Danio rerio: one gene and its partners. The protein of the gene in region 2 binds, or shares a complex with, the protein of the main gene of each other region. Links are inferred from orthologs where the notes say so. Each region holds a gene or a part of one and is shown on either strand. Other genes may lie near its edges. The genes, in order: ecsit, ndufaf1 and tmem186.

Region 1 (4,433 bases), on a different chromosome or scaffold from region 2:
AACCAATAAAACCTTGGTTTCTATGTTTGGCATAACACCTGGCAAAATAATAAAAATGAAGAGTTGTCAAATCAACAACACAATTTATTCAGTTTCTATTATCTCAAATCAAAAACACACACCATAATTCTCCATCTGCTCCAGCACCTGGACTCCGCACTCTTGCTGCCGCGGGTAGTGGTTGAACATCCTCTGTATGAAGTTTTGTGGCACAAACACCTCTTTTGGAAACACATCCAGGAGTTTGTTGTAAACGGTAACGTCACATTCTACACCGAATTCAGGCATCTTTTTCAGGGCGGCGTATATAAACTCCACATGCCCTCGTCGCCGAATGTCCTTGCTTTTGAAAACATCCACCACCCTGTTAAATTCGACTTTGGTTTTTGAGTCTCCAGCAGCTCGGTCAAAAATATCATCATGTGTGACTAAAGTTTTGTCTTTATGATGCGTCTCATCTTCAACTAATTTTTCAATGTCTGTCCGATTTTGACGGTCCGTGGAACACACTGCACTGCGATGGAATGGCCTCAGGAGCTAAAACAAACAAACAAACAAACAAACAAACAAACAAACAAACAAACAAACAAACAAACAGAGGAGTTAAAGGGACAGTTCACTCAAAAATTAAATTCCGTCATTATTTTCTCACCCTTCACTTGTTCCAAACATTTCTTTCTTCTATTGAACACAAAGAAGATATTTTGAAGAATGCTTAAAACCTGTAACCATTGACTTCCATACTATTTTAGTTCCTACTATAGAGATCAATGGTAACCGGTTTTCAGCATTCTTCAAAATATCTTCTTTTGTGTTTAAGATTTTAAAGAAACTTATCAAGTTTGTAAACACTGAGTAAATAGTAGGTACATTTTCATTTTTGAGGGAACTATCCCTTTAATGCAGGCACCCATGATCTCAAATCCATCATTATTCAGAAGTAAACATGTACCTGGACGTAGATGTGCTGTGATCCAGGGGTTTGCAGATGTGCTCGGCCAGGCAGGATCACTTGCCGTACAGGTGTCCCCAAAAAATGGGAAAGGCACCTGACGCACTGCAACCGTAGCAGATGATGAGAGGCGCTCATGATGACGACATCACAAATCACTTCAGATCAATTACAGCTGTATTGAAATGAGCCTAAAAAGGAACAGCAGAAAGTATTAGAATATTTAACTCTTTGTGACAATGTATCTTAAAGTAATTAGAAATAACTTAATAACTACTTGGAAGTTCTCTGTTTCTCGAGAGTTTGTCATGATATACTGTTATGTTAAAGGGATGGTTCATTCAAAACTGTAAATCTGTCATTTCTTCACTCTTCACTTGTTCCAAAGTGGTTTGAATTGGACTTGAACACAAAGGAAGATCTTTGAAGAAAGCTGAAAACCTGTTCCTACTATAGAGGTCAGTGGTGACAGGTTTTCCAACTATAAAAGTTAATCGTGACAGGATTTCCTACTATAGAAGTCAATGGTGACAGGTTTTACAACTATAGAGGTCAATGGTGACAGGTTTTACTACTATAGAGGTCAATGGTGACAGGTTTTACTACTATAGAAGTCAATGGTGACAGGTTTTACAACTATAGAGGTCAATGGTGACAGGTTTTACTACTATAGAAATCAATGGTGACAGGTTTTACTACTATAGATGTCAATGGTGACAGGTTTTTCTGCTATAGAAGTCAATGGTGACAGGTTCTCCTACTATAGAAGTCAATGGTGACAGGTTTTCCTTCTATAGAAGTCAATGGGGACAGGTTTTCCTACTATAGAGGTCAATGGTGACAGGTTTTACTACTATAGAGGTCAATGGTGACAGGTTTTACTACTATAGATGTCAATGGTGACAGGTTTTCCTGCTATAGAAGTCAATGGTGACAGGTTCTCCTACTATAGAAGTCAATGGTGACAGGTTTTCCTTCTATAGAAGTCAATGGGGACAGGTTTTCCTACAATAGAAATCAATAGTGATAGGTTTTACTACTATAGAAGTCAATGGTGAAAGGTTTTCCTACTATAGAAGTCAATGGTGACAGGTTTTCCTACTATAGAAGTCAATGGGGACAGGTTTTCCTACTATAGAAGTCAATGGGGACAGGTTTTCCTACTATAGAAGTCAATGGTGAAAGGTTTTCCTACTTTAGAAGTCAATGGGGACAGGGTTTCCTACTATAGAAAATGGTGATAGGTTTTCCTACTATAGAAGTCAATAGTGAAATGTTTTCCAACTATACAAGTAAAAAGTGAATGGTTTTCCTATGATAGAAGTTAATTAAGTCAATGGAGACAGGTTTCAAGCTTTCTTCAAAATATTGCTTTTTAAATTATACTTTATTCTACTGAATTTCTTCCCCATTTCAAATAAAAATTCAATTTGGAACATAAAGAAATTGGATTTTCAAGTGGTCTCAATATTTATTAATAGAGGTATATCTGAATGATTCAATTTAAATCTATTAAAATTAATGATCATCACGTTATTGTGAAATCTATCTATCTATCTATCTATCTATCTATCTATCTATCTATCTATCTATCTATCTATCTATCTATCTATCTATCTATCTATCTATCTATCTATCTATCTATCTATCTATCCTGGAAATTCAATGCCAAACAAGTGTAATGCATAATTATATAATACAACAATCACATTATGTATGGCTTTCGCATTTGGATTTTAGCATATTTATAATTGTCCGATATAAAAAGAGACCATAAATTACAAAACATGCGTAAATAATACTTTAAAACGTACTCACGATCCCTGAATTGACTCGGATCATTTTGCTGTCAAGTCTCCTTCAAACACGCACCGGCGAGTTTCCTGGTGCGCCATCCACAAAATTCCCCCTGAAACACTAGAAAGACGCATTCTCTCACATATTGGTTCCTATGTTATTCAATCCATCAACACTAGGTGGCAGAGATGTATCAAGTAAAAAAAACTCCCATCTGCAGCTGTCAAAGTTTTGTTTTTAGTTTGCTTTAAGCGGGGTTTTGGGAGAGGGAACGGAACAGCAGCGGATTAGCGCGATTTATTTCAGTTTCGCTTCGCCTGGGGAGAAGGATGAATTAGAAATCAACGTTTTTCACACGGACGCGGTTTCTGGAGTGAATCCAGGTTTTGAGCTGCACTTGCCTCCTCATGCGAAAGACAGATTCACTCTGTGCTCATTTCCTGGATTCGTGATTTCAGAGTTACAGCAACTTCTGCAATCCTCTCAGCGGCTCAGTGTTTATTGTGCGCGAGGGTCCCGCAAACACAAGGCAATGCTGCAGCTCACAGCACACACTGCCTTTCTGCCAATGGGACATACTCATATAATTCCACAATTGTGAAATCTGCAAGGAGTGTTTGATTTAGTCATGGATGGATCTACGAACAGTCTTGGTGAGTTGATAAATACTGTCACTTACTCTGTTTATGTCTTCGTAACATAAATATAAACGAGATCTTTTGTTTTTAACGTTTGTTGTTAAACCAACTTTTGTTTTTTTAGTTTGTTGTTGAGTTAACTAGTTCAGCAAAACACTTTGAACATAACGTTACCATTTCTGAGTTTGTTAAAATGCGAATGAAACAACGCTCGCCACTGTTGACATTTAAATATGCGGTTAAAACGGTTGAAACTAAACTAAACCGTAATTAAGTTTACTTTATTTAACGAATATAGACTTTTTATATGTATATTTAGTTGTTTTATTGTATATGAAGCGTGTGTGTGTAAGTGCAGGGTGTAACAGTTACTGACACTGTATCTCAAGCTTCCCTCATAGAAAAAACACCATGGTAACAGAGTTTCCGACAACGGTTACTGTAATTATTGTATTATTGCGTTCACGATTGTTTGATTTGAGCTATAAGAGTAGCTTAAGCAAGTCTAAACTTGATTGTTGGTCTCGTAATGTGGCCAGACAGGCTGGTGTTTAGTTGGGAGCTCTGGCTAACTGAAATGTGTCTTAAAAAAATCAGAAAACAGGCCTGACCAGCGTAAGAATGCATGCAATACTTCTTAAACCACTGGCTTTAGCTAAATTAAACACTAATTCTGATAGCTTATTATATACTGTAAAACCCAACAGTCAACTGTATCAAATTAAATGAGTGTAGTTAACTCAAAATTTATTTAAAAAAATTATTTCTACTCAATTAAAAAGAGTTTTAAACTCTCGGTAATGTGTTAATTAAGTACCTCATTACTTAAACTTAAAAAGAGTAAGTTCACAGTACTCATAAAGATTACTTTTTTTTTTTACTCAAATGGTTTGTAGCAGTCAGTGTCCCCAAACTGTTTAAGCTGCCTTAACTTACTGTGTTTATAGTAGTCAATTGGTTTGAGTTCTCTTTAATTATTTGATTTTTACCGTGCTCAAATTTCTTTGTTTACTCAAATGTATTAAGTTCATAGTACTCGGATTAGT
Region 2 (4,288 bases):
CCATGACTTTTCCAAAACCTTTTCTGTTTTTCCAAAATTTTTCCAGGCCTGGAAAATGTCATGTCAAAATTCCATGACTTTTCCAGGTTTTGCATGACCGTATGAATCCTGAACTCGTCTGTCACACTGCAATATTCTTCTGTTATTTTGCTTGTTTTGGCAAAATATGTCTGTAAGCACATGTGATTGCATGTGTTACCATCCCGTGAGTTAACAAACACGTTAAATGTTTACACAGCCAAACTTTAATCAAATTGAATACTTGTAGAGATATCATTATTAATTTGCCTTATACAATACATTGTTATGACTTTCTTCGGTAAGATTTTATTTGATGGTCCCTATTTCACATTTTGTTGGCTAAAAGTTGCATTGCAACTACATGCCAATTAATTCTCATTAGAGTATTAGTAGTCTGTCTGCTTAATATCTGTTGATATTGCTCTTTCAACATTGAACTGACTATAAGAAACTTTGCAAGTACATGTTACCTTACACTAACCCTTACCCCAATCTTACAGTCTACTTATAATCTAATGAGAATTAGTTGGCATGTGGATGCAATGTAACTTAAATTCAACCAATGAGTTAAATGGACCATGAAGTACTAAATAAAGTGATACCCATTCTTCTAATAACTACCCTAACTAATTATTTATCTTATTAATTGTCTAAAAGAGCTTTTTAATGGTCATTAGCAGTTTTATCATATATCACGGTGGGTTTGTTATTTATGGACAAAACAGTCAACTTTATTACATGAATATTTCTCCATGCTCTTATATCAATGAATCATGTGACTTTCTACCCAATCAGAGAGCATGTTTCTGGGAAGTGTTTGATGAGCGTCTGTCCGCTCTAGTGTTTCGTCTTATTTCTGCAACCGAAATAGAAGTTTAGCCGCGGCGCTGTGACGTCATAAAACAGTAAAGGTTCTAAACGCACGCGACTGCTTTCTTTACTAAAGCCGAAATGCGCGCGCACTGCAGGCCACAATAAAAAGCACTCCAAGCATCCCGAATTCAGGTGTAACTGCCTCAATAGCAGCACGACGCCACCATACAGGCCCCTGCTAACCAGCTAGCTTTCCCACATCACTTAGCATGGGACTCCAACACACACATACAGTCCTGACACATTTGTGCCCTAGAAATCGGCAAACAGCGATGTTTTTGGATCACATTCGCGTCAATGAGGTTCCTACCTGATCCAAATTATCATCGCTCGCACTATCCTCCGAGTCGGAGTCAATCACGACCCGACCTTTCCGTTTCTTTACATTCACCATGGTTAGCTGCCTGGCTCCCCTGTGTGTGTGTTTAAACAGCAGCGCCGCACTCCTCCACACAAAGGCGCTAGAGCTACACCGCGCATGCGCACACGCCACCACAAATACATCGACAAGTTTACAGTACCACTTACGTGCTGTTTCTGATAATGTCAAATATAATGTAAAGTACATTAACCACAATTATGATAACATTTGTTAACCACTAAATGTGGGGTTGGTAGGGGGTGAACTGCGAGGAATGTTCGTTGTCGGTAGGACCATAAGCGGATGTCCTTGTTTCAAGTAAGGGCAAATTAAATGACGGGCCGCGAAGGCGCATTTGACTTTTGTGTAAGTATTGCTTAAATATTTTTAATTTATTTATTGATATGTTGTTGATAAATGTGGTCACCGTCAGTGTTTGTACGTTAGCTTTGCTGTAACAATTAAACTTAATCTTCAAATCATGAAGTGTGGGGATTTTAACACGTGTTATTGTACCGCTGACCCTCTCTAGATTAATTTATAACCTTGTTGCTATGGAAGCCAAATATGATAATCCACATGCAAGAGGAATTCCCTGAAAATTACATCTTCATGTATAAAAACTGGCAGATTTATACAAACTTAAATTGCCTTAATAGGTATATACTGTTGTGTAATTGTATTTGTAAATAATTTCCATTTGGTGAGCTTCTACGATAGCAGTTATTTAAATGTACATTTTATTATATTCTCATCTGAATCCATGATTATTCACTTAATCTAAATCATAATAGTAATTACGCATTTATATATTATGTCCACTGTTTTTCTCTAAACCTTTCCATAGACCCTCTTGCACCTCCTTGAAAAAACTCGAATTCAAGAGATCAGCACCATTTTCAGGTACATTAATTTAATAATCACAATGCAAAAAAAAAAATGTTTTTTCTTACTTTGCTTTATCTCTTTTCTAGTCCAAATATCTAAAAAAAATCTTAATCAGGGAAAACTATTGCTGTGTTTTAAAATTCAGATGAAATGAGGCGAAGTTGAGAGTTTTCTCCTTAAAACAAGCAAAAACTTATGCTAGTGGGGTAAGTTAAATAATCCTGTTTTCACTTTGAAATGTAGATGTTTAGACTAGAATGACAAAAAACTTAAACGAATGTACATTAATTTTGTATTAAAACATTAATGAATACAATTCTAACGCTTTTGGTCAACTATAATCCAGACTTAACATTGCATGTCTTTGCAATGACTATTGCAGATGTGCACATTGCGATATCGATGCTGAAACTATATATTGTGCAGCCCTAGTTCCTGTTCAGTGATAATTGACTCAATAATTTTTTCTACAGTTTAAAACCTTCAAAGGGGTAGGTCACCTCAAAATTAAAATATTGTTCTCATTTACTTACCCTTTACTTGTTTCAACCTTTAATTAGTTTCATTCTTCTGTTACACACACAAAGTATATTCTGAAGAATTCTTAAACCTGCAATCATTGTTACATGGAATTTGGTAAGTGGTTACAGATTTTTACCATTCTTCAAAGTATCTTTTCTTGTGTAGAAGAAAGAAACCCATAAAGTAACCATTGAGTAAAAGGGTCGTAAATTTAAAATTTGTGTGAACTATTCCTTTAAATCAGAACAGGAAGTATTACATTTATAAAATAAAGTATGGGTGACTCGGTGGCTTGTCGCCTCACAGCAAGGTCACTGGTTCAAGTCCTGACTGGGTCAGTTGGCATTTCTGTGTGGAGTTTGCATGTGCTCCACGTGTTGGTGTGGGTTTCCTTTGGGTACTCTGGTTTCCCCCATAGTCCAAAGACATGTGCTATAGGTGAATTGAATAAGGTAAATTGTCTGTTGTGTGTGCGTCTGAGTGAGTGTGTATGGATGTTTTTCAGTACTGGGTTGCGCTGTGTAAAACATATGCTGTATAAGTTGGCGGTTCATTCCACTGTGACAACCCCTGACAAATAAAGAAACTAAGCTGGAATGAAAATAAATAAATGAAAATAATGGCTCTAAATGATGCATATACGATTTTACTGTTTGTTATAAATGTTTTTAATTTTTTCAGCAGTCTTCTGGATGTCTAATCTGATCCCAAGAGCTACCCAGACTAAATGGCTGTATCGAGAACAACACTCAAGTCCCTGTATGGAGTTTGTGGAGTGGTTTACAGACAGCCTCTGTTGTTCCCTTCCTCACTCAAATGTGCATCTATACAGATCACCAGGAGCAAGTTTGAGCGAGATTACCAGAGACCCGGTCAGCCTCCAGACACACGCTGGCCTTGGCAGATGATAAACTTTGATTTCTCCAAAGGTGTGGAGAGTGTCAGGAAGCACTTTGGCTTGTTAAAGGATGAGTTTTTCCAGCGCTGGATTGGACCGGAAGGAAAGCCAATAATAGAGCACATGCTGGAACAGACCCGTGTCGTGTGGGAGTTTCGGGGTCCTGAGAGTCTAAATGAGTGGATTGTGTCATCTGATCAGGAGATTGGGGGCCGCAGTGTGGCTTATGTCAGTCTGGGCAAAAACAACACCACGTGTTTGCTGTATGGGACCTTGAGCTCCACCCCTCCACGTGATGGAGAGACTCGATACAGTGGATACTGCTCTATGCGCTCCAAACCCCCAAAGGTCAGTGCTGAGATCCCACATCTGTGTCTCTTTATTATTTTTACCAACATTTAATGCATTTACTTAAGATTTTTTACATTCTGCAAACGTTATTCAATCAATGCATTTGTACAGCAGGTATTTAAAGAAATGGGACATAATACATTGCCAGATTCTTTTAAAAGTGCAGTAGGTGATCTTTCACAATGCTAACAGCTTAGCATAAATCTCTGAATCACAGTCCCTCCCCTGCCGTCCAGAGCCACGCCTCCTGAAACAGGAGCACGTGCACCTTAAAGATGACAGCAAAACAACCCTCTCTCGTATAAAAAGCGACTAGTGCTTGTCCGGCGGCATGCAGGAATTACACATTACTAAGCCAAACTGACATGCTATTT
Region 3 (3,286 bases), on a different chromosome or scaffold from region 2:
ATAAATGATGGTGATTTGCATATGTTTATCTATCTTACCAATTGCTGCATTCAAATCTGACAACACAAAAATCAAGAAAGAGATTGAGTCTTTGGTCTTTTGAGTTAGTTATGGAGTTACAATCAATCAAATAACACAGAAGTACTGGGATAACAGTTTATAGTTTAGAATAAACCACTGATGTTTATGGTAAAAATTAAAATTAACGTCATATACATTTAACTTGACGCTCAAAAATAAAGGTTGTAAGCAGTAATTACATTATTTAACCAATAGGTTGAATTCAACCAGCCATCAAAAATATGCCACTGAATAATAATAAAAAATGATCCATCTAGCAATGAAACATGAAGTTTTATGAGTAAATAACAAGCATTTATTGAAAACGAGACTAAAAATAAATATGGGTTGTACAAATTATAATGTTAGATTTCTACATTTAGTGTCATCAGCAACAGTAGCAGAAATTGTGAATCTTTCCACAGTACTGAATATTTTACCATTTATTTATATTTAGCTAATTATTTCTTCATTTTTTTTTTTTATAAATATAAGGGTTCTTACTTTTGTTTTTTTGAAACCAAATGTTTCTTGCAGTGCAGTTTTTGTAATAAAATGGAAAAGAAATGACATTTGTCTCCTCCCCTTTTTGGCTAGTCCGATCTGTGACTAAAAAAAACATTATATGATCCAAACCGTAAGATTTGTGATCTGTTACATCACTAATTATTAATAAAATGCACAAAACAAAAGCTACATATACTTAACTTTACCATAAGATCTTTAATTTCTCACTTTGGGAAAGTTTCATATGACATGACATACAAAACTACACAAATTCATGACAAACTCCCAAAAACCTTCCCAAATGCGTGTCTATCCACCACTCGTCCCAGTCTGGTAGAAAAGTACATGGTATTAGAAGTGCTGTAGCGCTTTAACCGAAGAATTGATTCTCCCCTGGAGTCTCCTGAATCTCCCAGAGTCACAACATCTGAGACGGGTACATAAATGTCTCTTCTGTGACCCCAAAAGCTAAGATGTGACACCTTTAATATGGTCTGTGTTGAATCCAAATACATCATGCCAACCACTCTTCTGACAAAGTGGCTTATGGAGTACAGCATGACTCCAGCAAACAAGGCAATGCCTATTGAGCGATTTAAGACCAACACTGATGCCTGGCCCTGCAGGTGGAGGTAATACACAGTGGGCAGCAGGACAACAGTGATGCCCGTCTGTAAGAGTTTGAGTCTTGAAAGAGCCCGCAGGCCCCTGATTAGTGGAAATGCATAGATTAGACTGTATTTTCTTGAGGCAAGGTCAGAGGAGAATGAGGCCGGGTGAATCCGCGTGGTGTGTGTGGATGTGTTGGGCATCTGTTTACCCATGTGTGCCAGGCCGTTGTTGATGTTGTATTGCATGCGAGCACTTGAAATAAGTCCTGAAGGATGGCATCGAAAGCCATATTGAGGGAAATGACGGGAAAGGTGGATTAATCTTGTTGACATCATCATCTGAGGAGACAGTAAGCATCACAACAGTAGTTATTATTAATGTTAATTATTAAAACAACACAAAATATTTTGATAATGTAACCATCATGACTATTGACTATTTGACCTTGTTTATTATGTTGATAAAAACAGTGCTTGACAAAGGCAGTTGTTGTGTTGGCTCAGATTATGCGTTCCAGCTTCTTATATGCGATAATCATAGAAAATACATAAGCATAATTAAATAACGCGCATTATTATTAAATATTATTTCAGTTTTGAATGAACTCACCATGTCCATACAAGTTCAGTGCATCGCGCACTTCTTCTGTGAAGCTGGACATGAGTTATATTATGTATCGTTTCAAAATAAAAGTCCTTAAATCAACGCTTGTCAAAATCGTTTTTGAAACAAGTTGTTAAAAATATTTTAGAGACATGGAATCTACGTGCACTTTTTGTGAATTAGAGAAGGAATCGATAAAACACCTGTTTGTTGAATGCACATATACCCAAATATTTTGGTTTGATGTTGAACATTTTATATTTAAACTTACTAAATTAAAAATTCAGTTTTCTTGTAAAAATATTTTTTGATATTCAATAATAACAACTAAACCTTGGAGCAAAATTTGTTTATTAATTTAATGATAATATATGGGAAGTACCATGTACACAAACAAAACTGATCCAATGATAAGCCTAATATTTATTTGTTTAAAACTTATCTTATGCATATTGAAACCCTACAAGACATAACAAATAAAAAAGCTATAAGAATGTGTGCAATTCTGAAATAATTTTTCTTATGCAATTTTTTGTAATTTATATATCCCTTATATATTTATATATACATATATCCCGTAATTTTATTTATTTTTTATTATTATTATTTACTGATTTGTTCCTTTGATGTGAAAAAGTAAGCATTTTATTTCTCATTTTGCATGACATTTTCCTTGTTATTAATTATTCGGTGTCATTAATATTTAATTAAAGTGAAAATAAAAACAATTAATAAGCATTTATATATTATTATTCGACACGTTATTTCTAATTTTGGCAAAAATTTTAGCATTAAAAAACAATTGATTGTTTCAGTACCATAAAAGTGTCGTGGGTAACATCAAGGGTGCGAATTACAGGGGGGTTGGAGGGTGGGGGGATTGACCCCTCATTAACACTTCTTTGTCCCCCCTGAAGGACATTAAAACAAGATGAATAGGGGGGGTCAGCTCTTTAATAGCTCTTTAATTAAATATTGAAAATAAAAAATTTATAACATAATAAATATACCCTTATAATGGTTCATACCATGTGTGAAAATATAATCGCCCCAATCAATACTAAGAAAAAATATCATTCAACAACAGTCTGAAACTGGCACCGATAGACATCTCAAGTTTTCACAAAACACTTCTTGTAAAATAGTTGTATTTTGACCTTCAGCAACTTCTAAAAAATCACTAAATATCAATACACTGAAAGCGTATACATTTTAATAATAAATGAGGTGTAATTTTAGTACATTAATACATTTGATTCACTGAAGAATGTATTACCAAACTACTATCAAAAAAGTTGACCCATTCGTTCGTCAATGTATAATTCGCACGCTGGTAACATCAATGTTTAAAGTAATTTGTTAAAAAAAAATACCGATAAATTAATTTTAAAATCTAAATTTGAGCACAACTACCCTAAGCGATGTGAAGCTGGACTTGATAGAAAGTCTAGCATACTCCAAAATAAAAGTACTTCCGTTGCCATGACTAAAATTCAGTTAAATA

The links.
Region 1: ndufaf1 (region 2) and ecsit share a complex: the UniProt entries of both Homo sapiens proteins name them as parts of the mitochondrial complex. The link is inferred for Danio rerio from reciprocal best matches to the Homo sapiens genes NDUFAF1 and ECSIT.
Region 3: ndufaf1 (region 2) and tmem186 share a complex: the UniProt entries of both Homo sapiens proteins name them as parts of the mitochondrial complex. The link is inferred for Danio rerio from reciprocal best matches to the Homo sapiens genes NDUFAF1 and TMEM186.

Annotation. Positions count from the first base shown.
Region 1 is NC_133182.1:17,784,156-17,788,588, forward strand, and holds the start of ecsit (evolutionarily conserved signaling intermediate in Toll pathway, mitochondrial), read right to left. Parts: upstream 2,815-4,433; 5' UTR 2,767-2,814; intron 1,144-2,766; 5' UTR 1,091-1,143; coding exon 953-1,090; intron 538-952; coding exon 123-537; intron 39-122; coding exon 1-38. Other genes in the region: eml3 (echinoderm microtubule-associated protein-like 3), read left to right, coding at 3,378-3,402.
Region 2 is NC_133188.1:36,685,602-36,689,889, forward strand, and holds the start of ndufaf1 (complex I intermediate-associated protein 30, mitochondrial), read left to right. Parts: upstream 1-1,394; 5' UTR 1,395-1,621; intron 1,622-2,102; 5' UTR 2,103-2,158; intron 2,159-2,229; exon of another isoform or gene 2,230-2,288; 5' UTR 2,289-2,349; intron 2,350-3,346; exon of another isoform or gene 3,347-3,349; 5' UTR 3,350-3,392; coding exon 3,393-3,911; intron 3,912-4,288. Other genes in the region: RNA polymerase-associated protein RTF1 homolog, read right to left, coding at 1,205-1,288. UniProt on the Homo sapiens protein: As part of the MCIA complex, involved in the assembly of the mitochondrial complex I.
Region 3 is NC_133197.1:27,568,024-27,571,309, reverse strand, and holds tmem186 (transmembrane protein 186), read right to left. Parts: upstream 1,821-3,286; 5' UTR 1,798-1,820; coding exon 1,789-1,797; intron 1,700-1,788; exon of another isoform or gene 1,624-1,699; intron 1,518-1,623; coding exon 840-1,517; 3' UTR 635-839; downstream 1-634. UniProt on the Homo sapiens protein: As part of the MCIA complex, required for efficient assembly of the mitochondrial complex I.